4 linked regions of the Astyanax mexicanus genome follow. The protein of the gene in region 3 purifies or fractionates together with the protein of the main gene of each other region. This does not show direct contact. Links are inferred from orthologs where the notes say so. Each region holds a gene or a part of one and is shown on either strand. Other genes may lie near its edges. The genes, in order: psme4b, psme1, psmb3 and fbxo7.

Evidence for each region.
Region 1: the proteins of psmb3 (region 3) and psme4b purify together in Homo sapiens (affinity purification with mass spectrometry; 3 studies listed by BioGRID and IntAct, counting the BioPlex papers as one, with this or other methods). This does not show direct contact. The link is inferred for Astyanax mexicanus from reciprocal best matches to the Homo sapiens genes PSMB3 and PSME4.
Region 2: the proteins of psmb3 (region 3) and psme1 purify together in Homo sapiens (affinity purification with mass spectrometry; 4 studies listed by BioGRID and IntAct, counting the BioPlex papers as one, with this or other methods). This does not show direct contact. The link is inferred for Astyanax mexicanus from reciprocal best matches to the Homo sapiens genes PSMB3 and PSME1.
Region 4: the proteins of psmb3 (region 3) and fbxo7 purify together in Homo sapiens (affinity purification with mass spectrometry; 4 studies listed by BioGRID and IntAct, counting the BioPlex papers as one, with this or other methods). This does not show direct contact. The link is inferred for Astyanax mexicanus from reciprocal best matches to the Homo sapiens genes PSMB3 and FBXO7.

The regions. Positions count from the first base shown.
Region 1 is NC_064422.1:31,571,865-31,579,970, forward strand, and holds the start of psme4b (proteasome activator complex subunit 4B), read right to left. Parts: upstream 3,105-8,106; 5' UTR 2,776-3,104; coding exon 2,579-2,775; intron 945-2,578; coding exon 804-944; intron 706-803; coding exon 589-705; intron 193-588; coding exon 139-192; intron 1-138. UniProt on the Homo sapiens protein: Associated component of the proteasome that specifically recognizes acetylated histones and promotes ATP- and ubiquitin-independent degradation of core histones during spermatogenesis and DNA damage response.
Region 2 is NC_064413.1:749,517-757,753, forward strand, and holds the start of psme1 (proteasome activator complex subunit 1), read right to left. Parts: upstream 3,079-8,237; 5' UTR 2,924-3,078; coding exon 2,885-2,923; intron 1,678-2,884; coding exon 1,645-1,677; intron 1,534-1,644; coding exon 1,471-1,533; intron 1,284-1,470; coding exon 1,182-1,283; intron 1,015-1,181; coding exon 963-1,014; intron 161-962; coding exon 60-160; intron 1-59. Other genes in the region: transcriptional regulator ATRX, read right to left, coding at 4,842-6,230. UniProt on the Homo sapiens protein: Implicated in immunoproteasome assembly and required for efficient antigen processing. The PA28 activator complex enhances the generation of class I binding peptides by altering the cleavage pattern of the proteasome.
Region 3 is NC_064412.1:56,741,536-56,749,894, reverse strand, and holds the start of psmb3 (proteasome subunit beta type-3), read right to left. Parts: upstream 3,363-8,359; 5' UTR 3,205-3,362; coding exon 3,202-3,204; intron 1,722-3,201; coding exon 1,537-1,721; intron 1,337-1,536; coding exon 1,229-1,336; intron 585-1,228; coding exon 407-584; intron 318-406; coding exon 223-317; intron 1-222. Other genes in the region: si:ch73-193c12.2 (putative uncharacterized protein DDB_G0271982), read left to right, coding at 4,266-4,350, 5,560-5,653, 5,747-5,834, 6,672-7,238. UniProt on the Homo sapiens protein: Non-catalytic component of the 20S core proteasome complex involved in the proteolytic degradation of most intracellular proteins. This complex plays numerous essential roles within the cell by associating with different regulatory particles.
Region 4 is NC_064409.1:44,922,332-44,930,191, reverse strand, and holds the start of fbxo7 (F-box only protein 7), read right to left. Parts: upstream 3,451-7,860; 5' UTR 3,353-3,450; intron 1,271-3,352; 5' UTR 1,270-1,270; coding exon 1,148-1,269; intron 957-1,147; coding exon 713-956; intron 1-712. Other genes in the region: uncharacterized protein LOC125798983, read right to left, coding at 5,125-5,976, 6,145-6,456. UniProt on the Homo sapiens protein: Substrate recognition component of a SCF (SKP1-CUL1-F-box protein) E3 ubiquitin-protein ligase complex which mediates the ubiquitination and subsequent proteasomal degradation of target proteins and plays a role in several biological processes such as cell cycle, cell proliferation, or maintenance of chromosome stability.

The sequences.
Region 1 (8,106 bases), on a different chromosome or scaffold from region 3:
CTGTGTTGCGGACCAGCAGTGGATTTTGAATTCGGTTTAATTTCAGATGCATGCAATTAATACCAGAAGCTGCCCTATAAAGAGTACAATACAAGTAAGTAGAGTACAATACATGTAAAAAACACTGGCTATGCTTACCGCTTGCGAACATAATTAAGCATTTTTTGTTTAGGGGAGGCTTCTGCTCGACAACTAAATGTGAGAAAAGGAAAGACGCATAAGCCAACACTAAACACATCAACTGAGATCTTACACAGTAATTACAATTTAATGGGTTCTTCTAAAAATAGCTGCTGTATTTTATGTGAGGCTAATTTAATAAGGTGGTACTAAGAAGAATTATAATTTCTTAGAATGGCCAAGACTGAAATTCAGCATACTTAAACATCCACAAACTGAACTTTAAAGACGTAAACAGAGAATTCAGAAGCTCTTCCTTTTCCATAAACACAGTCTTAAGACTAGGACTGCCTACTACCAGTGTGTGTGCATCCCAAACATAAACATCTGGCACAAGGTGCAATGTTAATATTTAAAAAAAGACAAAGTTCCATTGGCATTTGTGAAGACCTTAAGTAAGAAACCTACTTTGGAAACCAGTTGAGACCAAGATGTTCGGTTTTTGAGTAAAGGATCTTCTCATAGAGCTCGTACAAGGGTCTCCAAGGCAACTCCAAGTCATCCTGTGACAGCAACTCTTTTTTCCTAGAAATGGCATAAGAAAGCATGTTCAATAACGTGGGCCTTTATTTCAAAATTACATTTTCTTCTCAGTATTGTAAAACTAGTTTAAAGCTGCGTACTTGAGTAAATTGATGAGGAGTCGAGCAAAGCTCTGCATCATGCTGATTTCCAGCTTAGGGATGGTGACCAGCTCGTACAAGAGCTTAATGAAGAGCACATGGTCTTCCTTACTGAACTTTCTGCCATAGAGACGAAGATACCTGCCAGTGATATACAGAAAAAATTATCAAAGAGAGAAAGCAGAGTTCATAAACACATCAGTAACCAGCACAAATATAGGTGACTCTAAACTTGTGAATGGACAGATGTTATGTAGCTACAGTGGTCATGTGATGCACAAAAAAAGAAAAAAATGCAGTGGGGTAATGTTATGTTGTATCAGGAAAAGAGTGTAGCAATGTCTAAAAAAAATATAGTAAAACACAACAAGTACAGTTGTTTTCCACTGAAAAACGTAGGACACACAGCTGTCTTTTGTCTGTCAAAACAACTGACAGCATCTAGAGTCAAAACATGACAATATAGCTAACCTAACCTATATTGTTTTGAGTAGAAATGTGTGTAGCAGTGTTCTGTAAATGACCGAACGTACAGTAAATTGTAAAAACACAAAATAAACACGTTTTCAACACAAACTGCAGATTGTTAGAGGCCAGACAGAGAGCTAGCTCACACTAGGTTATCTAAGAGTATTGTTGTTTTGCAGTGTCATGATATGTCAGGTCATGAAGTGGGAGCTGAAAACTATCAGCTAGCTATAGTTAGCTAACCACAAGCTAAATCACACAAATTCCTTAATGACAAGCTTAAACAAAAGCTTTTGACCATATAACTGCTAGGTAGGGTAAAATATAGTTTATGCTTCCCTGTTTCCCCACTTTTCTAGCTATATTATTAGCCCATACTACTGTTAGCTGGTCTTTAACAAAGACGGTCAGTGAGCAGCTTCTGGAATTAGCCACAACTTGCTGAGTTATCGTTAGCTAGCTTGCCACCGGTTGCAAGTCAACAAGATAAGCTAGCTTTAATGCTAAAGCGACGCACAGCTATCCTATAATGTTAGTTTAACTTAGCTAACCTGGCTATACACCGCTTACTTATCGTTAGCTAGCTTAACTAGCGCTAAGCTAACTAAGCAAATGAGTGACTCAGAACTTGCTAACTCATCTGGCTAGCGAACCACCGGTTGCAAGTCAACAAGCTAGGGTAAGTTACAAGCTAAACGCTAAAGCGAAACACACATCTAACAGATAATATTAACTAGATAAGAACTGGTTCGCTAACGTTACTTTTAGGGCCATATTTAGCTAAGCTAACAAGCTATCTGCACTGTAGGTTTATCTAGTTAATTACCTAACTAACATAAAAAACTCGAATAAAATTACTAACATAGCTAAAGCTTGCTAACTAACTATTTAGAAACAGAAAACCTAACTATATGCACTGTCGGTTCATTTACACACAAACAAACCGATAAAATTAATAACTTAGCTAACGTAGCTACACATAGATACGCTAAGCTAACTAGCGTTAGCTAGCCCTAGCCATCTAAGCAAATGAGTGACTTAGAACTTGCTAACTCATCTAGCTTCCTTAGTATAACACAGCCGTAGCGTTAGCTAGCTAGCTAGCTTAGATAGCTATAACCTAGCAGGCCCAGCCATTCAGCTTATTTGGGTTAGCTATATAGCATTAGCTAGCTAGGCTAAGTTCAGCTTATTGCCGGTTAAACCCTGAAGTGTGTGTGGTGTATTTGCTGAAGGGAACATAGCTAAATAACACTAACTACTAACTTAACATTTTTATTTCGACGTCTAAAAGCAGCTATACTCACGTCGAGAGTTTTCTCGTCCAGAAGAGAACTCCGGGCCACAGCTCCCTGAGATGGACAGCCCGAGCCAAGTTCCCCTTGATGCTGGCCAAAATGATATTAGACTCATTGTCTAGTTTGTCTGCATAAGGAAGGAGTTTGTTGTAGACAATGTCTTTCTGAGGGACAAAACCTAAGGTGTCCTCCTGGTCCTTTTTCATATTACACTCCCCCAATAGCTGGATCCTCTCCTGGACTTGTTTGCTGTAGTATCTATCCTCTTAGTCCTTGACAAGTTCCCCTGACAAATCTTTTATTGACACATCCGAGACTCCCCGTCTGTCGTCCCGAGAACTCGACTCGTTTATTGTCGACACGATCTCTCAAGCACGTGGACGAAAGTTGCTCATTCGCTCCTTCTGACACGCGTAACATTAGCCTGGGTCACCCACATATAGCTAGGAGTCTCCCTTCACTTTCCTGGACACACACATAGCTAACGAACTGGACACACAACTGGCGGTGGGTAGCATAGCAGAGCCTCCCTCCCTGCACATATGCTGCACATACACAGAGGGCGCCCCTCTCGGTGCCTTTCCGCCACTTCATCTAGTTATTAAACGTGGATGAAATGTGGGCATGGATCAGTGCAGGCAGTCATTACATTAGCATCAGTAGTGACTGACAATAGAGACAAAATAGAAACAAGAAATGATTATATATGAAGCAGTGTGTTTTTTTTTCTCTCCTTTCACTTTAATCAACAAAATTGTTGCTAATCCTCCAACAATCACACAATCACAATCACATAGGGATCATACCTGCCTGGATCTGATAAATCTGCAAAGCTGTTTTTTTGTAGTTATTTAACATTAAAACATTAAAGGGTGTGCAATCCACATAAACATGTGACTATGACTATATATTTATACTATAATACTTTTAGCTATTAAATGAAAACATCTTAGAACCATTTCCTATGAGCCTGTAGATCATGTGATGGAAAATGTGAAGTCAAAATAAATAATCAAAATCAACTACAATAATTGACAAACTGATAATTTTTCCCTTTTCCTATACAGCGTATTCACTAGGGGTGTCACGATTCTCTAAATCCTCGATTCGATTTCATTTTCGATTTGAGGGTCACGATTCGATTCGATTCTCGATTTTCTTGTTTTTTTTTCTTGTTATTATTTTATGCCTCATAAAATTTAAATAATATATTTATTATTATTATTATTATTATTATAAATATTATAAATATTATTATTATTATTTATTAAGATATATATGGTAATGCCATCTAGTGACTTTTTTTGGTAGCAACAGTGTGCACTATTAAAATAAGCAGTTTATCAGAGCTGTGTGTGGATGGCTGGTGAAACTGCTCATTACATGAAGCTGCAGTTCTTCATCCAACCACTAGCAGCAGCAGCACAAGCCCCGCTCTTTTCACTCAGTCACTACTTCAGTACAGCCCAGCCACGGGCTACAGAGCTCAGCCAGTCCGTTTTTACTGTTTCTGTAAACAAATAAAGGTTTTAACCCCACTAACCGGATAATACAGCTCACTACAGTTCATCTTTCAGCCCAAGCAGCTAACAGCAGCAGGTTAGAACAGCCGACACGGAGGCACTGCTCGGAATACATTATAAACAGGTCAGTTAGCGCGCTGCTAACCTCAGGATGTTTATAACTACGGAGTTTAGTGGACACACCACAGCCGCCAGGTAAGTCTTTTAAAGGCTACTGAAGACTATTAAAGGCTATTAGAGTGTAACCCCTGGCTCCCAGGGGTTACAAGAGGTTATTGAAAGCATTATTGGGGGGCAGAAATCAGTACAGGCTGGTTAGATAAGTGATGTGGGTATTGTCTTATAAATATTTACACATAACTTATATCTCTCCTGAAAAGCTTTTATTTTAGTCAGAAACACGCTTGTGTTTACTTTATCTGAGAGAAAGATGTTTTTTTAATTCAATGGAAAGCAACAGGTGTAGTCAATTATAAGTTTAAGATTTTTAATCCACCTCACTGTGATCTATAGTCAGTGTTCTCAAGTCACACTGACACACGCATTTCAGCGAGTTCACACGCTCTCACCTGCGCGCACCCACCCCTCCGTTAGATACAGATACAAAACCTGCGCGCCCAACCCCCGCCCCCCCCTCCCCCGTTGGACAGATAAAAACAGTGATCACACTCCCGCCGACTGCGCTCATGCAGTGGCTATCTCTATTTAAATGAATAGGATGCGCTGTGTTGGTGCCGCGCCATTTGCGTAGCGCGCTGCGCTATTTGCGTAGCGCGCGCGGGAGGGATCGTCGATCCTCTTTTTGACTTCGATACTCGAGATCGTGACCTCATTTCGATTCGATTTCGATAAAATATCGAGATCGTGACACCCCTAGTATTCACACAGTTTAAATGGTTTATCAGTGCCGATGGCATAATGAGATCACTTCAATCCTCTTTGCTCTTTCTTTATTCAGTGACCCAGTGCAGTGATATTGTTCCAACACTAATGTAGTCAGGATGTGTAGCTAAGTCACTGCATAGTTAGTTGCCTGGTTGAGGTTACGTTCTTAACTTGTGGAGTTAAGAACATTCTTAGCTTCCTTAGTTAAAGTAGTGAAGGTCTAATATAGAGTTCACAAATCTCGTGAACCAAAAAGGGCCAGTGTGAATGCAGTATTTAATTCCAGAAACACACCAGACACCTGTTGAAAGGTCTCAGTCTATAAACATTTGATAAGTTATATGAAGCCAGATCCTGAATGAAAACCTAATGTTTGCATCAAATCAGACTGGTCTACCACAAAACAGCAAGCAGCATGGCATCCTCAGTGGTTCAGTATCAGTGGGTGACACCAAAACCCACTTTTTCTGTGCCAGGCCAAATCACCTCAGACTAATCAAACTCCAAACACAAGTTTCTGCTGGGAACCACATAAACAAACACACAGACACACACCTTTTACCTGGAGCTAGGCCAGATATCTAGTCTAATCTCATCAAGCTCACATCCTGCATCCCTTACAGCCAATCAGAAAATGTCACATTGTCCTGGCCGGCCAATTGCATGCGCTGACCTGTTCTTAGCCAACCAAACCAACCTCTTTGCCCGGAGGGTCAATTAGTTCTAGGAAAGCAGATTTATCCTCTTAGATCATAGGTATTTTTAATGAGATCCTGGATTAACCAGCCTCTCGCTAGCTTCTCAAAGACAGGCCACTTCAGTTGCAGCAGTTGTACCACAGGATATGCAGGTGGCCCTATAGCTCAAATCATTTATATATTTTTAAATCCCAAATGAAGTTCATGAAACAATGCTTTTCAACTACCAGATATAGATTTACTAACTATTCCTGCCGTTTGTCTAATAATGCAATTCTGCAAGCTCAGTATAATTCATTATTTCTATATCTTATCAGCTGTTATATTTGTGCCAATTTATAAAGTGTGCCCTCAATCTGTGCAGATAGGCAGGAAACAGCTCCTTGACCAGGAGACACACACTGTCACCATAAATCACATTAGAGGACATTTTTAGTAAATCCCCACTGACCCAGCAGGATGAGGCCACGTTCTCCTTCTCCTTCAGCTTCTACTAACAACTGAGACATGATTGCCCTCTTCAGGACAAATCAGAAAACTCCTGGAAAAGTGTTCACCTGGAACAGAGATAAAATACTGTAAGCAGTACTGGGAAAGTTACTGGGAAATGTGGAAATTCAGTATACAGATACTAATCTTTCCACAGTGTGTATTTACCCTTACATCACTGCTTACACTAGCAGCAGAAAGTAGATAAATAAAACATTGCTGTTTGATTAGAAAATTATGCAACTCATCTAAAAGATGGCCATAAAGTAGATTTACCCTTATGGTTTTGACAATAACTACTCATATTTTATTTTGACATACACTATTCATATACATAGGAGAGGGAAACACATTATTTGAACATCAATTTTATGCCACAGATAACAAAACAAATATACAACCCCACATCAGGAAATATTTAAATAAAAACACAATGTGTCTAAAAAACTATAAATATAAAAGTATGTGATAAGATGCAACAGATTATTGTAGTCATGATTTGACACAAAAACAATATCCATTAAAAACAGCATCCATTTCCGTATACATAAGTGATTTAGTATATTACATAATAATGAAAATGTAAAAAGCATAATCTTACTAAATCCAACAGTGTTTTTCCGTAAGTATATTAGTGTGCAGTTGTTGTTCAGACTCATGCTTTTAATGCGTGCAACATATAATGCGTAAATTCTGTTTAAGCTGGTCTTTAATTCCAAAAGTTGATTCTCTGATTCCACTTATTTGGGAATTGACTTAACATATATGTGCTTATGCTTATTCACGTATATTCTGCTGTCACTATTTAGAGACCAGTAATTTAGCTTTTTTTCTCTCTTGAAATCCAGTCCTGTAGTCTTGCTGTATTTTATCTTAAAATCCCAGTCCCGCAGTCTGCCTATATTTTAAATGTGACTAACCAACAAACAGGATATCTAATTCTGAAACACATACTTACCTAAAATGTAGTTAGGCCCTGTTTAGCAAAGCTGCCTTACTATGGTAAATAGATACCAAACTTACATATAACCAAACTTAATAAACATAATATATATATATATATATATATATATATATATATATATATATATATATATATGTGTGTGTACATACATAGACAGTATATCAACATTTTTCTATGTACTTAATTAATAATTTATATTTTATTTTAACAAAATAAAATAAGTCACATTCTAAAATATCTGAAAATCCTAATACACCACTTTTTAAAGATGCCAAAGGCAGAAGTAAAAGATCATCACTGGACTGGTCAACACACTTGGAGGAGAACATTAACTGTCAGCTCTGATTTGTAATTTGTTGTAACATTTTGCCCCTAGAGTTTTGATAAAATGGATTAAACAGAGCTGGGAAGAATGACAGGCTACAGGGACATTAGTAAGGTCTGGAAATAAAATATATTAATAAAAAACAATATAGTGCACAATATTTTTTTTTCAGTAACAGTGTTCTGTTAGCAATACATTTTCTTGCAAGCTTCTTCCGGAAGTAAATGTTCTGTGACTGATTGACTGATTGAATATGGGACCGCAATGTTTAGCTTTTACCCCAGCTTTCTGAAAGCACTCTACCTCTGTGTCTATTATTGGTCAGTAATGAAAGGCTGAGCGGTTCCAGCATGGCTGTTCCTTCATAATGCTTTAAGCAGAGGTGCTTGAGGCACATTTGTAAAAGGAATGGCAGTGAAAGTTGGTCCACAGGGATATCAGGGATAGCAGGCTGACATTTGATATTTAGTTGAGCTTAGTTTAGTTTGTGGTTGTGGAAAGACTGTGTTGTTTTCTGGGCAGTGACTTTCATGAGAGGTTACGGGAATTCCCTGCTGCGGATTTGCAGCCTCCGTTTGGACAAATGATGACTATTTGATCCTGATTGGGCTGCAGGCAGTGTGGAGTACACTTGGTAAACTTTGATCAGCAGA
Region 2 (8,237 bases), on a different chromosome or scaffold from region 3:
TATATAATATTAAGATTATACTTATATACCTAATACTATAAATGAGAAGAGTCACTTACAGTGTTGAGATTTTCTTTCAGAGTCTGAATGTGAGGCTTAATTTCTTTGATGAGACTCTCGACTTTCTCATTAACAGCAATCGGACCACAGAGAGGACCAGCTAAACCAATAAAAAAACAATCCTGTTAACATTTGAGCATGAAGAGTGCAATAAGAGATAACCACTACACAATCTAACACTCTTATTCTTAATAGTTATATAAAAACTTATATATCAGATATTTTATTTGTTAATTTGGACAACGTTTTTACATTCAAAACAGCATAAAGGCACTTATCAATAATAACTTATTGTTATATATACTTATTGACAGGATTAGTTTCTCAGGGGGCGTCTGTGAAAAATATTTCACACTTCTACTCTTTAGTGATAAAACTCCTGGAGCCGGACTGCAGTTGTAAAAACAGGAGGATCAGTGTTTTTTTTCTCGGTCCTCCATTTCCACTCGCTGTTGTGTTTTTTTTTAACGTGGATCTCTGTAGAAACCGTGGCTCCCAAAGTGTAATTACGGTGCACGGCAGTGAACAAATATCTATTTTTTTAAAGGCGAGGAGACGAAACTCAGAGATGTGCGTCCGGACGGGACTAAAATTACCGGAGGAGCACGGAGTTCAAACAGTAGATAATTCAGCCTGTAATTTTCTCAGAGGACGTCTGAGAAATAAAACACCTACATGATCGTTCTGGACAGGAATAAAATCACAGAGGATAGAAAAACCCATAAAAGAGAAAATTACCCCAGAACCCCCTGAGAAACTAGAAACTAATCCTGTCCAGATAGGGCTTAAGTCGATGTATGGATTTGCATTCATTTTAAAAATATAAGATGAAATTTATCACATGTAATGAGTTGTAAGTGCAGCTTTAACTGTGTCCAGTATCAGAGCAAGATATACTTTACCTTCCTCCTCTTCTTTATCTCCTTTGTCTTTCTTTCCATCCTTTCCTTCTTTCTGTGTGAAAGATAAAACTTACAATGCTTTATCTATCAATATCCATTAACATCCATTATGCCACAGTTAGTTCTGACCCTGCAATGTGATTCGCTGAGAGGTCATCAGTATCTCTGAGGAACTGGTAGATTTTTAATGTCTGGTCTGGATGTAAATAAATACTCTACCTCACTTTTCTTCTTCTTCTTCAGCTCCTCTTTGGCGGGGTCCGGGATCGGGATGTCCAGAGGAGCCCTGAGAGCAGACAGGTCCTCTGAACCCAGGGAGGCCTAAAATCAATAACAGATATATATATATATATATATATATATATATATATATATATATATATATATATATATATATATATTTATATATATATATATATATATATATATATATCTGTAGTTCTATCTGCAGTTATGATATCATATCATAATCTTTCAGAAGCTAAAGTATCAGAACCAGACACTTTACCTGCAACAGGTTGTCCATCTTGGCAATCATCTGCGGGAAGAAACTTGAGACCAGCTGCTCTGCCTGTGCCAGAGAGGAGAAATGAGAGGAGTCTGAGACTGAGATACTTGTGAAAAAAAAAATATATATATTTTTTTTATTTGGGAGAGTCTACAAACCAAGAAAACGCTTTACCTCTTTAATGGACTTCTTAGTGAATCCATCAACCTGTAAAATACATAAATAATTAAATAAATGCTAACATGAACGTCATACTGTTATATTGTGTTATTGTTCTTACAGAGGATCATCAGATTTAAAGTAGAGAAGTTCAAAGTAATGTTAAGAGACAGTACAGAAATAAAAAAAAAGAGTTAAAAGTAATAAAAATAACATCTTTACATTTTATAATGACCCTGTAATTCTTATGCTTTACTGAAAAAAAAAACTAGCTTGATCTTTCCAAACACATTCTGATTAACAACATTAAAAAAATAAAAAAATGTTCTATTTTTTCTGGATGTTTAGAGCAAAAATGAACAGTTCTGACCTATATCTACATACACACGTGCACACAACTGTTGGTGCCCCTCGGTTAATTAAAGAAAAACCCACAAAGGTATCAGAAACAACTTGAATCTTATAAAAGTAATAATAAATATAAATTCTATGAAAATGAACAGATGAAAGTCAGATATTCTGTTTTAACCATGCTTTAAAAAAATAACTTATGAAACAGGCCTGGACAGAAGTCATGGAACATTTAAAGTTATCCAAAGGCAGTGTGTAAGACTGGTGAACATGGAGAACATGATTCCAAGATCAGCCCTATATTTAGCTAATTACAGTGGACACACCTTGATTTAACATGTCCCTTTGGTCACATAATTTAATAAATTAAAAGTTTATTTTTTTAATTTAAATCATTCTATTCAAAATCAACATTGGACTTTCATTGGTTTATTTTCATAGAATTTTTTATTTATTATATTACTTTGATCAGATTCGAATTATTTCAGTGACTATTCTGGGTTTTTCCTTCATTAACCCAGGGGTACCAACAATTTTGTCCACGTGTGTGTATAATTTTAGTGAGATTATAAGAACATGGGTAGATATTACTGCAAACATATATATTTTTAATATAGTTCTCTGATTTTATTATAAATACATTAAAAAAACGTGATTGCATGTTTTATAAATGTATCTTGGACGTCTCTGTTTGTATTGTGTGTGTGTGTTTTTTTTTAGAAATAAGTAAAAGAAAAGATAAAAAGTAAAAAGTATTATTGTTGTTATATAAAGAAAAGCTAGAGTATTTTGCAGGCCTGGAGTATAGGAGATAAGAGGTAATGCAGTATAAAGAAGAGCTGTAATAAAAATGGAGTATCTGAGTTTTCAGGCCTACAGTGACTAACCAAAATCCACAGCTCACCTCTTTCTTAGACGCAGGGCTCATATCCATAGAAGTCATTTCTGTGCAGGTAAAGTTCAGGTGTAGCTACAGGTAAAATTCTGCTCACTACTGAAACTCTGACTGTGAAATTTAGTAAAAATATAATTTATCCTCGACGATCAAACGACGAGGCGCGAGACTGAGAGAACAGGGTGAAAGTGAAACTAAATCGAGTTGTATTTAATCAGTAATTCCCATCCCAGCCGCGAGAGGAGAGCGGACTCTTAATTTGAAATTACAAAATTAAAGTCTGAACTTTTTCGAACAAACTGCGCACCCAAACAAACCAAGCTGGAATTTTACTTAGAATCAACGTTAAAATGTGGTTAAAGTAATGTCTGTTGTTGCTTCAGCGTTGAAACAACGTTGAATCAACGTTTAATGTTAAATGGTTGTGCTAATATTGAAATTTTAATGTTGAATCAATATAATGTCCTCAACCTTCTTCCTTTTAAATCAGCATTTTACATTTCATCACCATATAACGTTCATTTCTAAAAACGTTTGGATGGAGAAATTAAAAAGTGTTTTATTTCTATTTGCAGTAACTGTTTTTATTTATTTAACACCATGTTCATGTTCTAATAGTTTTACTGTTTTAGTGTTTTACTGTTTTTGATGTTCGATGTCAGATGTTCAGTAATTAGATTGGTAGTGGTGGTGGGTATAAACTTTCTTTATACTCTGTATTTACTGCAGTAATCTAAGTTTATTGTTAACACTGTTCACCATAGGATTTTCTCATTTTAGTAAGCTAAGGTTGAACGTATGACGTTGAAACAACGTTGTCATATCAACGCCGATTCACTTTTCAAAATCAACACCAAATCCAACCTTGATTCAACCATAACATCAAGGTTGTTCAACGTTGAAATGCCAGCGGGGATGGTTTATTAAGGTTGAACGTTTAACGTTGAAACAACTGCTATTTCAACGTTAATTCACTTTTTAAAATCAATTCCAGCATTTATTCAATGTTGAAATGCCAGCTGGAAACGTTGATGTTATGGTTGAATCAACGTTGGATTTGGTGTTCAATTTGAAAAGTAAAACACAGTTGAAAGGACAACATTGTTTCAATGTCGTTTCATCAACCTTTAATAAACCATAGGCGTTTTGGAGATACAGCTGAGCCTCACCTTGCTGGTTAGCGAGAGCAGCCGAGCCTGGGTTGCCAGGTCCAACAAAAATATCCAGCTGAAAGTCAGTCCTTGGAAATGCCTTTTGGAAATAAGGTTATTTTATTTATTTATTATACTCACTTACATATTGAATATGAACTTGTTTTCTTTGCATTATTTGAGGTCTGAAAGCTCTGCATCTTTTTTGTTATTTCAGTCATTTCTCATTTTCTGTAAATAAATGCTCTAAATGAGAATATTTTTATTTGGAATTTGGGAGAAATGTTGTCTGTAGTTTATAGAATAAAACAACAATGTTCATTTTACTCAAACATAAACCTATAAATAGTAAAATCAGAGAAACTGGAGTGGTCTCTTATGTTTTTCCAGAGCTGTAGTAGAAAGCTTTCTTTGCACAATAGAAACAGTTACTCCAATAGAAGCAGGATAAACTTTTTTTAATAAGTTTGGAAAAAAAATATATAGATATATATAAATCACCATCACAATTTCCCAGTACTTTCACTCATATTTACACATACACACAAACACCCAGCCAACAGGCTTCCACATAATTCCACATTCTACACATCATGTCTTGTGCGCTGCACTTAAAAACACTGATATAAAAACACACACAAACACACACACACACAGCTACAATAAATTAAGGCAACTTAATCCAAACGGATTTTGGAATCAGAAGTGCAATCCTTTTAGAAAACAAAACAAATACAGTATATAAAGTATATAAAGAGCACAGTACAGTAGATGCTATCATTGGAACAGTGCATTGTGTATCTGGTCAGCTCCTTTTAGTGAAGGCCATTCTGCTCAATGTACATTCTGGACAGGGACGCTGCCATGGATTTGGCCAGTTCCTCATCGCGTTTGCGCTGAACCTGCGTGTGACGGTACCAGTCGTCGTACTCGGGGTTGGGCTGGCATTGGTCCAGCAGCACGTCGTAATGTCCGTTGCTCAGCCAACTCAACCAAATGGCTGGTTTGGACAGGTCTTCTTCTCCCAGGTAGTGCGTCATGGTTGACACGGTAGGGCTTTCCAGACTGCCTCCAGTGGTCAGGTAAATGTTGACATTCAGCATCTGAGTCATGGCAAGAAGCTCGGGATATCCGGCCCAGGCCCCGTCCTGCGCCGCGTTGATCAAAAACTCGCCCACGTCGCCTTCGATGATGGGGCTGAATTCATCGAGGTGGTCGGCGATGTGGTAGAGCGTCTGCTCTCGGAGATCTTTGTGCATGGACTGGTCTCCGTACACGGCTTTAGAGACTGCTCGGTAAAGGCAGTTTCCATCAGGGATGATGTGGAAACGGTACCTCCTCTTGTCCTGGAGGTACTTGTTCTGCTTGTCCACCTCTGCCAGGTATTGGCTCACTTTGTCGTTAAGGCTGGAGCTGCTGCTGCTGCTGCTGGTCTTATTGTTGACCACGGTTGGGGGCGAATCTTGGAGAATCTTGAGTTCGAAGACTGGGTCTTTGTCGTATTCGTACTCTTCGGTTGGCTGTCGCTCTAATGGAACTCTGGTTGAGTCTTTGCTTTTGATTGGGTAGAACGACTTTTCTTCTTCATCTTCTTCATATTCTTCTTCGTTGTCTTCTTGTTCTTGTTGTTCATCTTCCTCTTCTTCTTTACTTGTGTCTTTTGACGCAACACTTTGTGAAGAACCTTGTGACGACTGTTGCTGTTGAGTCGTCGCATCGTTGATGGCGATACACAAGCCTACTGGTTCCTCTTCATCCTTAGACTCAGATGCTCTGCAAATATTTCTAATAATTCCTGGCAAGCTCTCATATATTGAAACATCCTCGCGTGTTGATGATTGATGATGATTGGTCAATCCAGGTTTTTTACTAGACCCATTCTCTGTTGTAGATCCCAGAAGGTCTAGATGACTCCCTTGCTTCACTAGATGAATTGGAACAGATCTCTCCACTCCATCAGGCCGGGTTATGATGATTTCAGCTCTGGATGTGAACAAATGCGGCCTCATGGAAGCAGCAGTGTCGTAACAGGCGAAGGCAGGCATGTTTCCAGCCAACGGTTCCTCTGCGTTCTGGAAGTTAGCGGCTTTAGCAGAGCTGGAGTCTTCGGCAGATGGCTTGCTGCCGCTGCTGGTGCTGATAGTTATCAGAACTTTCTGAGAGAGAGGAGGGTAGTGTGTGAGGGCACTGCTGTACAGATGCATTTTTCCTCCAGCCTCTCCTTTATATATACGCCCGTGTTACGGAGAGATGACAACACGGCCAAAAATACTCCCAGTCATGGAGAGAGAGCTGTGGGGGCTTCTTCCCTCCTTCCCTCCTTCCCCCCGTCACTCAGGAGCCATTCCTGGGCCGTGGCGTCAGAAAACACCCCTTCCTACATCACCCCGCTTATTTATAGAAGGGGGCAAAGCAGAAACAGGACACTGGGTCCGGTGCTGGTCCAGCCCCGCCTGGTCTGGAGCTTCTGGAGTTCTCTCTGCAGTTGGTGGTGTTGAAACACAGAGCTGGAGAAGAAGAATGCGAGACATGAGCTCACCACGCCCATAAGGAAGTCCTGCCTCACACTCACACAGAGAAACAACCAACCCCCCCAACCCCAGTCTTTCTGACACAGGGCACTGAAACATTGAAACAGGACCCCCCCCTCCCCTCTGTCCAGCCCCCCAACAGGAATTCTGCTGCTGACCTTCCCTCTTTCTGCATGACATCACCACCCTCTGATTCACTGAGCTGATCCCATTTACCCTATAAGGGACATGACTCATCTGGAAGAAGCCAAACAGAAGATACTATTTACCACAACAATCAATTAATCAGTCGTTATTATGACCCGCATTATCAATCGAGTCGAGTATGTTTAAAAAAAAACAGGGAATTAAAAAGAAAAATTCTAAAAAATAAATAAATAAATAAAACATTACATTATCCTTTATTATGGCACGCATTATCAATAGAGCCGAGCATGTTAAAATAAATAAATAAATAAATAAACATTATTTATTATTATGACGTCTATTATCAGTAGATTAGAGCATGTACAAAAAAACAGGAATGAAAAAGAAAATTCTAAGAAATAAATATATATATATATATATATATATACACAAAACAATTTAACCCATTAGACTAAGCGGCTCAATCATGTATTTATCTTATTGTGGGAACATGACTAAACTTTATAAGATATTTCCTTTATAACATTATAAGATATTTAGGAAAAATTTTGCTAAAAGTTAGATCTGAGACTAACTAATATAATTTATTCATTTATAAATTAACAATAAAGTAAATCAAAAAATAATAAATGAATGTACATTAATAAAATCAGGTAAAACTGATACAGCCGTGAGTTGAGTTTTAATGTTTCCTGTAATAAGGATGAGCAGGTGATGAGCGTTCATCCACAGATAAACTCTGTACGGGACACATGTGACATAAGACCCCACTCTCACCCCAATAAGTCTCCATCATACTAACTTTGTGAGTCACTAATATATATATATATATATACATATGACATTTTCTTCTTTGTAAAAGTGGATCCAAATTTTAGCTTTAAAAGTGAAAATACAATTAACTGCTTGTATTTTATGCAAAACAAATATCACATTGTCAAATAGATATAATTGAGGATTAAAAAAAAATGTATATAAATTTTAAAGAACTATATAATATAATCCACAATGCCACTGCTAATATGTATATAAATGAATGCTGTTTGTAATATTAGTATCAGTAAATAACTCCTACTACTATTTACTATGATGTTAAGTGGTTGAGGTGGTTTCCCAGACAATTCCCATTGCAATGGTTGATAAGAGTTTACTGTTTGGATGCTATAGTGTTGCTATAGTATCTAGGTTGGTTGCTTTGGTTTCCAAAAATTGTTACTATGACATCCCATGTGATTGCTCTGGTGATGTTAGGTTGTACAGTTGGGTTCTACAGTGAGGCATTTCAGGCATTTATCATAAAATTATGTTGATTGGTGGTTGCCAGGGAGTTGTAAGGTGGTTGCCATGATGTTGTTATTTGTCATATTCGCTTACCAATAATTCTAATGTGTACAGTTGTATAAAAGTGACGTCACTTAACAGATCACGGCTAATAAAGAAGCCTCAGTGTCTGAGTTTTAAATAGCCTCTGTATAGCTGGAATAGCCTCCAATCCATGCTCTAAATTTCACATAGCTCACATAACGTCTCAGC
Region 3 (8,359 bases):
GCACCTGTAGTTGATTTCTATGAGTAGAGAGGGACAGGCAGCTTCTCCAAATTGTGTATAAGTGTAAATAAGTTCTTTTACTGCCTAGGAAAAAGGATTTTGCATCACCTACACTTGTAGCCTGTATATAGTCCAATGCCTATTAAAGATTTGAAATCCACGCCAATGTAAAGGAAGCGTAAAAGTATGTGAGGCGAAATATTAAAGGAAGGCTGTACTCACATGACGTGGACTATAACTCCCATACCAGAAACTGCATCTCTATCTACAGCATTCAGCATTGCCTGTGAGATGGTTTCAAACAGGTCATCTGGCTCCTAAACGAAAGTATTATTAGAGAGCATATTAATACAGAGTAGAAATTTAATATTACCAATAATCAGTCATACTGAAAAGCTTCTCTCACCATATCAGGTTCCCACAGCGACTCGCACATGCCGTACATCTGCTCTGAGCACGTGCCGCTCACCACGAAGTCTTCTGTTACCATGGGGCATCCAATCAGGTCCAGTGAACAGATAAAGGGCTCTGAGGTTTTGGGGTCCAGACCAGCAATCACAGGCTCAATGTAGTAGGGTCCAAACCTAAAACAAGAAAAAGCATGTAGCTGAAGTACAACAAAGATTATATAAGACAGTAAAGCTGCAAATAATAAATATTATAGCAGTCGACTAATCTGGCGATTATTTTTTAGATTTTTTATCAATCCCTCTATGTTTCCTATCGGTGAGGCTCCAGATTAAATACATGCTTTACTGCATTTTTACAGCTAAACCTTCAGGATTCTAGACAGATTTAGCAGAACTCTAACCCTAACCTATATAAAATTACAAAGCATATTATAGGAGCCATTCACAAGGATAGGATGCTGCTATTTTTAAGAAATTCATCTTTGATATGTCTTCAATTGAGAAATAAATCTCAACAATTCAGATCTTTTTTTACATTTTATTTTAATTAATGTAAATTACCATAACAAGTCAATGTATTCTTTCTATATTATTTGATATATAATCCATATTATAGATTGCAGTATCTCCCTGTCTGCTTTCTCTCTGTCACTCCAAAGACAACAGAAGCTTATAATATGTGGGATTTAAACACTGAGAATATGTTTAAATGTATAATGAGCTGATGTACAGTGAAGATGGGTGTTGTCTTGTCCCTTATCTGGAGTGTTTACGTTTTTGAAGACACAGAGAATGAGCTGAGTATGTCTCACACTTACCTCCTCTCATACAGCAGGTTGGACACCATGCTCATGAAGGTCTTTGGCTTGATCTGCCGACCCTCCTTCAGCTCATATAGGTTAAGGCGGAATTTAAGTCGTTGAGATCTGAGGGGCAGGGGGAAGAAAGACAATAATAACATTACAGTGTTAATTCACATCAAATAACAAAAGGATAAAATTAAAAAAGGGTAATCATAGGGCCCAGCCTTTTCTCTTTACCCATATTCTAATCAACCAAAGCCTTGCAAACTCTTCACATGGGGCCTTGGGTGGGCACCTTATGCGTCCATTAATGCTAAACTTACACTGTCTGCACATCTGTGGCCAGTCCTGCCAGGCCGATGTAGAGTCTGTCACCCATGGGGAAGATCTTCTGAAAGTCAGTGGTGACCATCTGAGCCTGGATTCCGAACCTCCGGTCCGACGCAATCGCAACACAGTTCTTCCCACGCATCGCCATGACGGCCCCTCCGTTATACGACATAATAGACTGCAGGAGTAATAGATTGGATTTACAGTGAGTTACAGAAAACAACTGGTGGATATGCTCAGATTTATAACATATTATTGTACAAATAATATTTTATATAACTTCTGCAAAGTGCCACAATATTGTCCAGTTCACAGTAGAGCTGAAGTGTTTTGGGTTATTATATTCGCGGTAAGTCAAATGTTTTTTTGTTTATTATGTTGATCATCATCATCATCATTATTATTCTGCACTGAAATGCTTGTGGTGTCGCTTGAGGCTTAGCTTACCCTCAGCATATGCAGAATATTTTGTTATAAAAGAAAGCAGTTGGTGCTTTTTACAGATAAATTATTTAGAAACAATATATACACACACATTATACAATATATATACCTTCTAAGAAATTAAATTCTAAGAAAAGTGGGGAATGGAAGAAAAATAAATAAATAAATAAATGAATTATAATCTAATATAGTACATCACATATTCTTATGCCAGGGTTAATGACATTAGGTTACTCCAGCCTAAATCCATAAAAAAAACATGGGTTTCATATTTTTAGAACTTTTTAGAAAAGCCATTTAATAGGAGTGAGATTTTCTTCAGTTTAAATGAAGTGAAGGACATATTTTATACAAGAATATTGAAACAGAAAACTGACATTTTGCTGCAATCCATGGCACAAACGAGTAATCAGAAAATCAAATGATTCTACCACGATAAACAGACCACAGTAGTGCAAAATAAAAAAAGACTAGTTACATCTAAAGTTGCATTGGTGTTTAGCTCAATAATAAACCAGCAAAGTGTGCAAAATCTGTTCATTTGACGTTAACATCAATGCAACTTAGTTTTAGTCTTGCATCTTAAAACACAAACAGAATTAATTTTAATTTGGAAACTAGTTATATATTTTAGTTAGCTAAAACTAAATCTTCCTAACCTAAGTAGCTCAGCTATGGTTTTATTAAAAAAAAAATAGCTAGCTAACTAGATTTTCAGTTCAGAGAACTATAAAAAACTATGTGCTCTGTATTATTAGTATTATATTTTTTAATTTTAAATTTAATCAAATCTATGCATTAGCTAACTTTGGAGAAATTTAGCTAGCTTAGCTTAGCTAACAGCTAGCTTTAGCCGGTTACCCAAACATATAACTACATTTAGCGGCATATAGCTGATAGCTTAGCCAGTTCGGTTAACAGTTTCGTTTTCACAACAGTCATTAGAATGCTTTATTTTGGCTAGTTTAATGAAGTTAAAATTGCAATATTTATGCCGTTATAGTGGTTAAATATATAAAATATATTTATTATTAATACTGGAGTTATATTTGGACCGTTAAAATCCGTTAGAAGTGTCTCTATGTTAGCGATGAGCATGATACTGCAGGTTAGCATTAGCTGCTAATCTAAACTAAGCCACCCGGTTAACTGAGCCAGGCGGCCGGGTAGATTCTGCTGTTCTGTATAAAAGAAAGGCTAAATAATTCACTTACCATGCTGGCGCTGCTGAAGAAACACCCAAACTACAGAGAAAAACTGTTCATATACTTTAATAAACCGCAGATATTCTTATTAACGCTGTGATCCGCTCACACACAGTGACTACACACTTTCACCCAGCGCTCAGTCCCGCCTACCCGCTTACCTCACATCCGCTCTACTCACACCGCCCACTTACATATATATATATCTCTAAATTATCTTTATCATTTATATCATTAACTATATAATTTATATAATTATTTAATAATCTAAATTATCTAAATATTTGCATAATTACTCTAAATGATCTTTATAATTTACATAATTATATATATATATATAATTGATATAATTTTCTAATAATCTAAATGATCTCATTACTTACTTACTCTAAATAATCTTTGTAATTTAAATAATTATTTATATAATCTAAACTATCTAAGTTCTTACATAGTTACTCTAAATTATCTTCATTTATTACTCTGTAGGTAGAATACTGTATACATACTAGGGTTTAAAATACTTTTTGTAGAAGTTTGAAGAAGTATGAATCTAAGGATTTTACTCTTTAAGTAAAAGTATAAAAGTAATGGTTTCAAAACTGCTTAAAATACAAGAGTAAAATTAATGTAAGTATGAAAAAGCCATTAAGGGCTGTGTGGGCAGTGTGCCACATGGCTGGACAATAAATAGATATATAATATAAATATAAATATAAAATAAACCAGTTGTAAATCACTCAAATACCATTAGTCATTCAGACCTGACTTATGTTCTAGTGATGAAAATATTCAAGTGAAGAAAAATAGAACAATGCTATTTTCTGCCTGTAATGCACTCAAAAACAGGATTTAGTAAAAATAATAATAATAATAATAATTTTGGAGTTTTCATTGGCTGTAAGCCATAATAATCAACAGCAAAAGATTATATAGATGTACATTGTAAACTGAATTACTGTATTAAAGTAATTTTCAGTGAAAATGTAATAGTTTGAGATGCAGTACTGTGTATTTGAGCAGCTAGAGGGCGGTAATAGGAAAGCTGTGTGTTTCTGTTTCTGTAGAGAGATGGGATGAGGAACAGTAAAACAATAACAGAGGAGATGGAGAGCGAGGTGGAGGTAACGCTGGAACTCGGGCCGTTTGGAAACTTTAAATGTAAGTATTTTCTCAGCACTTCACTAATAATTCAGTAATAATCAGATTAAAGGCTGCGGGGTGATGGTTATATATGCAGCTGAAGGCAGTAACGTTAGTTTAGTACAGTAGTCAGAGTCAGTTCACTAGTTCATCTCCAGATAAAAGCTTTTAATGTATTATTTAATAAATTCAAACCTAAAATCTAAATTATAATGCCTTGTTTTACTTATTCTAATTTTCCTATACACCTTAACCTGTGTAGCAGATGCGTTCAGGGCCCTGTAGGCTCGACTGCATCTGCTGCTGCGCAGTTCATCAGCAAGGCTAGGCAATCTTAGGGACTTTTATTCTATAAGCATCACATAAAAAAAGTTTAATATTTGATACGAAACTTTACTAAAAATCCTGTAATTATAATAGAATCCTTTATATATTTATATTTATATAATCTTAAAATGTTGAATTATATCTGCACCTGTCAAGATATAATAAAAATCATAAAATTGGCCCTTTCCTAAACTTTTTTTTGTAAATTTTAAAATCAGTATTTTTCTCAATACGAATGAAACATTTTAGGTGGGCCACACTTTTCATTTCTTTAAAGTTATCTAGTTTTTATGTCGATTTTTAAACATGCAGAATTGTATGGAGGACAAAAAATGGCATAAGTATAAATAAATAAATAAATGCACAAATAAATTAATCAATAACTAAATATACAAATAAACAGATACCTGCATAAATAATTGTAGAGATAAATAAAAAAATAAATAAATACTTATTTTTATTTCTTTATATATTACGCATTTACTTGTTTATTCATTTATTTATTTCAACATTTATTTATTTGCTTATTATTTTTTACAATATTTTCTTCTTGAATTTATTTATTTCCACATTTCTTTCTTTATTTATTTCTGTATTTGTAAAAAAAAAAATATTATGTCAAGATATATAATTAATAAAAACAATAAAAACATGCATTATTAAAGGATATATCTGGTGTAAAATTGACTTGTGTTGTGAACTTTATAAAGAGGATGAACTTTTGCTGAATTGCTATTTTTACACCTTTAACAAGCTCAAAGTAGCTCTACACTGTCTGTCTGTATTTTTTTCCTGCCCTCCTGCCTTATTTTCCCGTGCCAGTGTCCATTGTCGATTCTTGTACGTATTTGCGTCAGTCATAGTTGCCATGAATGTTTCATTATTAAAGTCTGTTTTTAGGGACTGATGCCAACACAGCAGATCTTATTGTGTGGCGGGTCAGCAATAGGAACTTATTTACTGGCAAGAGGAACACGGCCCTGCGAGCTTTCGAGTGAGTCACTCTATAAATGTAAATGTAACTGTAATGGTCAGTTTTTCCAGTTTATTAATGTTTGAAATAAAATTTTTAATTCTGATTCTGAAGGCAGTTTGTCAGGGAAAAGGAGCTGGAGGGTAAGGTGGCGCCGACATGGGTGAAAAAGAAATGGGAGAATCTGAGACAGAAGTATAAGGTAAGTGTGGTATTAAACCTGGGAGGGGTGATCCTGTTGAGTGCTTCTCATTACTTAAAGTTTTCATTCCGGCTTCTAATTGTTTAGTAAAACTCCTATCCAGATAAATCTCTGCATCCAGATAGAGTGAATTTGATTGTGATTGGATGTAGAGAAGTAAAATAAACATATATTTAATGGCTTTTTTTATGTTTTCCCCTTACATGACTTTTACTTTTATACTTTAGGTAGTTTTAAAACCAGTACTTTTTTTAAACAACTTTACTTAAAGAGTAAAAAGCTTGAGTTGATACTTTTTAAACTTCTACAGAAATATTTTTTTAAACCTTAGTATATAAACATATAGGATTCAAGGAGACTTTATTGCAATTCACATCACATGTGGTACATGAGGTGGAACAAAATTCTAATCTCACGGTTCAGTTTAGACCCAAAGATCAATTTTTTAAATAGAAAAAAAAGAATAGAATAAAATAGATATAAAGAGAAATACAAAAATAGGGAGAGTAGGCAGGTAGTCCAGAGTGCAAGTTTGCTATAGCAGCATGATAGTGTGAATTATATATTGTATATATCTTTAACTTCCAATGTAAAAGGTTATATACCTTTCTAAAAACAACAATATTCTGCAGCATTACAGCGTTACAGTCTGATGTACATGCAGGGTGTAGTCAGGCATTTAGTACTATTTTACTACCTTAAAACTGGAAAATCTGTAATTTCACTGAAGAAAAACAAATTTTCTGCTGTGGACCAATTCAAACACTAGTTCTGATCTTCCCCACTGAATAAAAACCTATAACCTGAAACCTGAAATCTATACTCTTATTGTTACAGGACATCAAAAGCCTCTCCTCGTTTGGGGGAGACTCATCCGCTGCTCCATGGAAATGGTTTGCAATCATGGATCAGGCTCTGAGCGAAGAGATCCCGCTCACTCCTTCCATTCTGACCAGCCCCTCCACTGCCCCCTCCACCCCCTTCACCTCGGCTGTTCTGGTGTCCTCCTCGGCTCAAGAGTCTCCGCCCGTGAAGAGGAGGAGGGAGCAGTACTGGCTGATGGCTCTGCAGGAGCTGGAGAGGAGGCAGGAGGAGCGAGAGCGGCGAGAGGCTGAGAGAGAGGAGGAGAGGGAGAGGAGGGCGGCGGAGAGAGAGGATGAGCGCGAGAGGAGGGCGGTGGAGAGAGAGGAGGAGAGGGAGAAGCAGGCGCTGGCGAGAGAGAGGAGGAGAGAGCAGGAGATGACAGAGAAACAGGAGCGATGGGAGAGGGAGCTGCTGGCCAGAGAGGAGAGGAGGGAGAAGGAGTACAGAGAAAGAGAGGAACGGAGGGATAAAGAAGCTGCAGCGAGGGAAGACAGGCTCTTTAAACTGCTGGAGGCCTTTGTGGCTAAAAAGTCAGATTAATAGTGTTTCATCTTCACATCCAAGAACTGTTATCTTTCTACTAATAAATGTTGCCCTGTTTTTGTATCTTGTCGCCAATTTCTTTGCTGAAATGTTAAATTTTGGTTGTTGCATTGGTAGCAGCGCCGTCCGGTTTATGGGCCCTATCTTACACCCTGTGTAAGACGTGTTGCGACACTCATTGCTATCTTACACCCTGTAACACTGTATCTTCACATCTTGTTACCATAGCTTAAAAATAGTTCCAATCTATGCAGATGGGCGTGGCCGTCTGGAAATGAAGTGTGTTCAGGTAAATATCCGATGTTTTTCTATCTTGGCGACAGGAAATACAGGTGTGCCACAGACTGATTAAAACCCTTACAACAGTCACCAGTCAGCCACCCAAAAGTGTGCGTTGCTTGCACACGTTACACACACACACAGATGAGTAAAAAGTGTGACAAAAGTGAGTAAACCTTTCACTTTTTAATTTTTTTTTAATATTTTGTTATATCTTTTCATGGGACAACACTGAAGATATGATACTTTGATACAATGTAATCAGTGTACAGCTACAGTACAACAGTGTAAATTTGTTGTGCTCTCAAAATAGCTTAAAAGTGAGCACACCCCTAAGAGAAAATTTTGCCCAATTAGCCAATTTTTTTTTCCTCTTTGGTGTCACGTGACTCATTATTGTTACAAGGTCTCAGGTGTGAATGGGGAGCAGGTGTGTTAAATTTGGTGTTTTGGGTTCAGTTCTCTCATAGTGGTGACTGGATATACAAAATGGCATCTCATAGCAAAGAACTCTCTGCTGATGTGAAAAACAGAAATACTGGTCTACATAAAGGATGGCCTATAAAGCTATATGCTGTAGCTGTACACTGACTACTTTGCAGTGTATCCAAGTATCATATCTTCAGTGTTATTACATTAAAATATATAATAAAATATTTACAAAAATGTAAATATTAGAATTAAAAAGGCCCTGGTGTTGTTTTCATTATTTGTTTTATTATTGCACAAGTCCAACAAATAGCAGCACATTACAGTAAAGCAGACTCAGCGAAAACTGCGTATATGAAATCACACAAAAACTGACATATATATATATATCGACAATCTCTCAGTCCTCT
Region 4 (7,860 bases), on a different chromosome or scaffold from region 3:
CAAGAGGAAGATGGATGATCAAAAGCCATCAAACCAAGCTAAACTGCTTAAATTTTTAAACCAGGAGTGGCATAAAGTTTTTCAAAAGCAGTGTTTAGACTGGTGGAGGAGAACATGCCAACATACATAAAACTGTGATTAAAAAACAGGGTTATTGCACCAAATACTGATTTCTGAACTTGTTTTCTTTGCATTATTTGAGGTCTGAAAGCTCGGCATCTTTTTAGTTTTTTCAGCCATTTCTCATTTTCTGAAAATAAATGCTCTAAATTGACAATATTTTTATTTGGAATTTGGGAGAAATGTTGTCCGTCGTTTATAGAATGAAATGTTCATTTTACTCAAACATATACATATAAATAGCAAAATCAGAGAAACTGATTCAGAAACTGAAGTGGTCTCTTAATTGTTCCAGAGCTGTATGTATAATTTTGCACATAATTTGGTTACATTAACACTGTACAGATGATTATATTTTACTCATTCAAAGTTTAAAAAGTATAAAATATATTATTTACATATAGTCAAGTGCCAAGTTTTACCAGATTCCACAAACCACATATTTGATTCAAATCTAGAAACACTTTAACCTGACCCACATCTGTCAATTGTTTAAATGCCTCTTTAATGTGGACAAATCTATATCAGAACATGTAATAACATTACACAGATTTGATTTGATCATATCTGTCTGACAGATAACAGTACTCACCACTTGACTGGAGCTTTGCATGGCTGATACAGTGTGACTCTGACTCTGCTGTTTGTTCAGCTGATCTGTTGCTCTGTTGTGAGTCTGAGAAGTAGAGGGCTGTGGCGGGGCGGAGTCAGCAATGCTCTGAGGCAAAATCACACTGATCATGTCTCCGGACACCACCCCACACGAGGACAGCGTCTGCCCAGTGTCCACCAGCGACTCCTTCCCATTCAGAGACAGACTGAACTCTGTATCAGCACTGCATGAAGAATGAACATGTGCATGAATCAAAGGAGCTTTATACTCAGCACTTATGCAAATGACTGTGACCTTATGAAACTCCGTTCAGCAGCCAATGCATTTTGGTCATATCACACAATCAACAGTATATCTACCATTTAAAAGACAAAAACATTGAAAATGTTTACTGTGGCTATAAAAGGCACTTACCTGAAACCGATTGAGGGCAACAACACCTCCTTCACTTGGATACTGAGCTCAGTCAGTGTGGGCTCTGCTTCTTCCAGCTCCACACGGCTGGTCTGCTTGTTAATTCTCACCCTTAACTTCATACTGTACAAAGGAAAATTACATTAAAGTCATTGACAGCTAAATTGAGAAGACAATAACCATTTTTTATCAATATAATCACTTACACAGTACCAATCAAACATTTGGACACACATGTGTTTTCTTTCTTTTCTATAACATCTGAAATTATTTTGTAAACAAAAATGGTTAAACAAACCAGAATATGTTTTATACTTAAGATATCCTAAATATCCATATTTAGCTTTAAGTACAGATTTGCACACTTTGTTTTTTTATGTTATTATCAGTGAATTTATGAGGCAGGGTTAGCTGGAATCGTTTTATAAGCATCTTGAAGGAGTTTCTGGAGGTGCTGAACAATAGTTGCTGCTTTTGTTCTCCAGCTCATCCCAAATCATCATCTCAGTTAGGTTTAGGTCAGGTGAGGCCAAACACTTTTATTGTTTACCATGTAATTCCATATGCGTCTCTTAGTTGTTTTAATGTTTTAATAAGAATATACACCTTAAAATTAATGAGAATGTGTGGCCAAACTTTTGACTGGTACTGTAAATGTATTATCGCCTCACTTAAACCTTATTCACCCTAAGTGCAAGACTGAAGACTGTAGACTGAAAACATTTAAATTTGACACTAAAAGATTAGAGAGAAAAAAATCTACATTTTAACTTTTATTTCCAAGTATTTACATCTAGATCTGGTACATTGCATAAATATTATCCATAGCCAGGACAACTTTCCTGCAGAAGAAGTCATCACTGGTGTACTAAACAACATAGGATAAACAGGTAGAACAAGCAAAAAACACAGCAGTTGACGGAAACATTTAGAGAGCTGTAAAGACAACCACTTAAAGAAAACCTCTAAAACAACCTTTAGTGACATCAGCAACAACCTCCAGAGGGCGGAAGTGAAGGTATCACAATTTACTGTTCACCGAAGACTTTGTGAACAAAAGTATTTAGGCATCACCAGATAATACAAACCACTATTAATTTGTTATTTACCAAGCAGTACAAAGACACTCCTATGGACTGATGAAACAACGATTAACCTTTACCAATGTGATGGAAGGCTAGTGTGGAGAAAGAAAGTATCTAAACATGATTCCAAACATACCAGCTCATCTGTAAAACACAGTGGAAGTAGTGTCATGATTCTTGTTCATTGATGTACAATTAAATCAGAAGTCTACAGAAAAATGTTAATTTAAAGAAAGATGAAACCAAACTGTTTGGGAGAACCTTCATTATGCAACTAGATAATGACCCAAAATCCACTGCCTGGAAAGCGAATGATTTGCAACCTAACATTAAGTATGTTTCACTTTAATTGACTTTAAGTTTATCTGTTCCAATATTTTTGCTCACAAGAAAAATGTGTGGGTTCAAACAGAAGACGCTATCTTCTGAACTGTGTACTGAACTGTATACTTGTGGAGGGCACTGTATATAAAAGACATTAATGAACACATATGCAGTATACATAAAAAGACCCTTACACAAAGAATTTTTTTGTTTGTCTAACACGTTTTGGTTTGGAAATAATGGAACTCAAAAGAGTGAAGTTGGTGGGGTGTACCCAAAGAGACACAGGACGTCCTACTAAACTCAAGGACAATAAAATGTTAGCTGTTTGAATTCAATGTGATGTTTCAATGTTTTCTAGTAAACAAATACTGTAGAATTAATTAACTATGTAACGCTAGCCAATGTAACTAGCTAACCCTAGCTTAGCTCATTTGAGAAAGTGGAGTAACGTTAGGCGTGTGGAGATGAGCTTTCCTTAGGATTTGTCTGAGTATCACACAACACATACAGCAGCCTTGCTCTCTTTTACCAATGTTTTATCATTGTTATATCTGAAGTCCTGTGTGGTCTGCGTTATTCTTGTCGTTCTGTAAAGACTGACATGATTCTGTCACATTCACTTTACACAGCAGCGGGGGTTCACTCGATAAACAGTTTTTTAGCTAAGCTAACTAACTAGCTTGTCGAAGTTGCAGCAGATTGATTAGCTAAAATTGCGCCGTTCTGTCCGAATAGACCTAAAACTCTGTTACTCGGGTAGATTTACTGTATCGCTAACATTAGTTAACATTACCTGAAGTGTGTTGATACAGACGTCACTGTGCTGAGAGCCTGCAGGCGGAGATGGTTTTGGTTTTGTAAGTAACCGGTGTTTTTCAAAATAAAAGTCCAGCGTCGAGTTGACGTACGTGGACAATGTGTCAGCAATATTTAATGACGTTCAGCTCTGGAAAAATAAAAGAGAGCCATTTAGTTTCTCTGATTTTGCTATTTATAGGTATATGTTTGAGTAAAATGAACATTGTTGTTTTATTCTTTAACCTACGGACAACATTTCTCCCAAATTCCAAATAAAAATATTGTCATTTAGAGCATTTATTTGCAAAAAAATGAGAAATGGCTGAAATAAAAAAGCAGAATTTCAGACCTCAAATAATGCAAAGAAAACAAATAACTCTGGTTTTCGATCACAGTTTTCATGCATCTTGACATGTTTTCCTCCACCAGTCTTACACGCTGCTCTTGGATAAATTTATGTCACTCAAGTCACTTTTTTATGAAAACTGGAATCATTTTATTTTAGTTGGTCAACTACTTGAATCAAATAGTAGACCATACAGTTATATTGACCTAATTAATAAATACAAAATTGACAAGTACTCTACAGTGATAATACTCTACAGTGATAAATGCTATACCAGTTGGTGCAAATTTACTGCTGAGAGGTGTAAACTTTCCTTGTCACTCACTTGTATGCTTTCAGCTAAACACCAGCAAAATAATAAGCTGATAAGAGAATTATTTCAGAAAGACATTGCTACAATTCCTTAAGTAATATCATTTTGGAATAGTATTATATAGTAGAGTGTATAGTGTGGTCTTTACCTTTAAAATATTTAATTTCTAACAAAGTGAGAGAAATTAGGCTGAAATTAATATATAACATTTTCTTTTAAAGATTTTCTTTTAAAATATAAGTGTGATATGGAAACTGACCGCTAATTTTGTAAACGTGCTTCTGAAGATGTTACTTCTTGTTGCTTGCTATGGATATTTCATATCCATAAATGATATGTAAAAAAAAGTTTGGGAGAAGGACCACACCCAAACTCCACGCTCTAACTCCACCTCTTATCAATAAACCACCCTATAAATACCTGCTCTAACTACCTACTTTTCGTGACAAAAGTTTGCATCCCACCTTCGCCCCAACAACCTCCTGGTTGCTCATTATCAGCCTTTGTCTCAGCTTCTGTAGCAGTTACATCTTTTACCTTAGTTTCCTTCCTCTGTCTCTGCTGGGTCAGTGTCCAGTAGCAGGTTGGAAGCGTTTGATGCCTCATCCATAATGTGAGAGGCCTGATCTTCCTGAGGGCAGTGAACTCCTCCATCATCCACCAGTGTTTGGCAGCTTCTGATGCCTCATCCACAATGAGAGTGGCCTGGTCTTCCTTTTGGGGGCAGTGAACTCCTCCGTCTTCCACCACCAACTACATCACAATCGCGCAGAGTACAGGCTCCACTATCACCTCAGCTTCAGCCAGGTTGTTATGGTTGTTTTTTATGTAAACCTTTTTTATTTATTTATTTATTTTATTTAAGGGTATTTTTGTTTGTTTTTTTGTGGTTGATTTTTTATGTAATATTTTTTTGCTTGTTTTCTCATATTTAATTATTTTTGAGGTTGTTTTTTTTATTCTTTTCTGGAGTGTGCTACTGTACTTCACATACAAGACTTCAAAAGGACTAAAAGACCTAAAAAAGACCCCTTACACTGTAAATTTTGATTTATGCAGATTTATTTCTATTTTGCGTTGACACAAATCCACTTATTCCTACACTGTCCTACTTATACAGCCTCTTTCCTCGTTTTCCTAGTCTTCCTCGTCTTCGTAGTCTTCCTAGTCTTCGTAGTTTTTGTGATCTTCCTCGTCTCCCTCGTCTCTTATGCTTCTTTTTGGATTCAGCTTCGGGTCTGCATTCAGCCTCCGTCTCGGCTTCCTTAGTCTCTGCTGGGTCAGTGCCCAGTAGCAGGCTGGGAGCTTCTGGTGCCTCATCCATGATGAGAGTGGCCTGATCTTCCTCTTGTGGGCAGTCAACTCCTCCATCTTCCTCCAGTGTTTCCACCACACTCTCACAAAGCTCTGTATTAAAGGTCACCTCAGCTTCCTCTGACTCTGTTAAATAAGTGACCTGTAGCAGGCTGGGAGCTTCTGGTGCCTCATCCATGATGAGAGTGGCCTGATCTTCCTCTTGTGGGCAGTCAACTCCTCCATCTTCCTCCAGTGTTTCCACGACACTCTCACAAAGCTCTGTATTAAAGGTCACCTCAGCTTCCTCTGACTCTGTTAAATAAGTGACCTGTAGCAGGCTGGGAGCTTCTGGTGCCTCATCCATGATGAGAGTGGCCTGATCTTCTTCCTTGGGGCAGTCAACTCCTCCATCTTCCTCCAGTGTTTCCACCACACTCTCACAAAGCTCTGTATTAAGGGTCACCTCAGCTTCCTCTGACTCTGTTAAGTCAGTGACCTGTAGCAGGCTGAGAGCTTCTGGTGCCTCAACCATAATGAGAGTGGCCTGATCTTCTTCCTTGGGGCAGTCAACTCCTCCATCTTCCTCCAGTGTTTCCACCACACTCTCACAAAACTCTGTATTAAGGGTCACCTCAGCTTCCTCTGACTCTGTTAAGTCAGTGACCTGTAGCAGGCTGAGAGCTTCTGGTGCCTCATCCATGATGAGAGTGGTCTGATCTTCCTCTTGTGGGCAGTCAACTCCTCCATCTTCCACCAGTGTTTCCACCACACTCTCACAAAGCTCTGTATTAAGGGTCACCTCAGCTTCCTCTGACTCTGTTGAGTCAGTGACCTGTAGCAGGCTGAGAGCTTCTGGTGCCTCATCCATAATGAGAGTGACCTGATCTTCTTCCTTGGGGCAGTCAACTCCTCCATCTTCCTCCACCAACTCCATCACAGTCTCGGAGAGTACAGGTTCAACCATCGGCTCAGCCTGCCTCTCCTCCACCGTTTCAGGGTCTCCTTCCACTGGAGTGACCGTAGTCTCCTCCGTTGTCGTCGGCTTCTGTGTTCTGGATCGGTACAGGTAGTAAAGCGATCCACCGGCAGCTATAGCTAGAGCTGCAAGGCTGGCTGCTCCTAGTATCCCTCGAACTGCACACATGTTGTCGCTGCGAAGATCCGTTGACGACTGAAGTTTTTCGTGCTGCTGAGCCTTTTATAGTGTTGAACAGTGACGTCATATTTATATCCACAGCAGTAAAACTGTGATGTCATTGACATGAACGTTCCAAAGTAATAGCAATAAGCCAACAAACAATAAAAAAAAAACACATCCAAGTCCAAAATCTGATTAAAAATATCTACCAACTTTTTTTTTTATTGTAATCTTTTATTTTTTTGTTTTTAAAATGTAAATATTTATGTGGTTATTTTTTTGAGGGGGTGTTTTTTTATGGTTGTTTTTTATGTAAACTTTGGTCGTTTTTTAATATTTATTTTTTGAGGATTTTTTTTGCGGGTAGTTGTTTTATTTTTAGTTGTTTTGTGGATGATTTTTCATGTAATCTTCTTATTTTGCTTTTTTAATATTTGATTATTTTGTGGGGGGGGGGGGGGGTTTAGGTTTTTTTTATTGTTGTTTTTTAACGTAGTAGACTGATGCCAACTATGTTTTTTCGCTTTTTAAAGTTTAATTTTTTTGTGGTTGCTAAAACTATCCGGTTTATTTGTATTTTTCATAATTTAATATATCTATTTTTTATTTTGTTTAGATTTTTTAAAGAATCTTTTTATTTTTTAATTTGAATTATTATTATTTTTTTAAAAAAGCTCCAAATCTTTTTAACTTTAAGAGGACAAATCCGTTTCCATGTTGATTAGAATAAAAAAATAGATTGAATATTTTTATAGTTGATAAAAAATAAACAACAAACTGTGCTGAATTCCTCACTACTGCTGTAACGCGTTTTACTTCACACATGACAACAGTTTAGTTTTAACTATGTGTAACTATAAATAAATAAAATTTAAATAAAACAAAAGAAATGCTTTTCCCAGCTAACTAAAAAAGGTTCGCCAAAAAGTTGCAAGGGACGTTCTTATTGAACGTTTGTAGGACCACCAATAAACATTCAGAAGACTATTATGCGATGTTTAAACAAACATATTTAAACGTCTTTTATGGTCTTCCGTCCTTTAAACGTCTCTAATAATGCTAAGTTAAATTCTATCGTTTATTAGATTGTGGCATATAATAAACACAAGTAGATGCTGCAATCTGCTGTTTTTATTAAATATGAAAAGACATATTTCTCGTGTATTGCGATCAGGGCCGCCGCTCTGCATACGCAGACAACGCAGCCAGCGTTAGGCCTCAACCATTTTGCAGTTGCAGGGAGCCAAATTGACTGAGAATGAAATGTGTTGAAATTATGACATTATTAAATTTAAAACCCAATGTGAATTATTAATGATACGCTCATCTTTTTTGTCTTTAAACATTGCATGGGGCACCTACTCTACTACTTAAAAGCGGCACGTTATTATTTTTGTGCATAATATAATG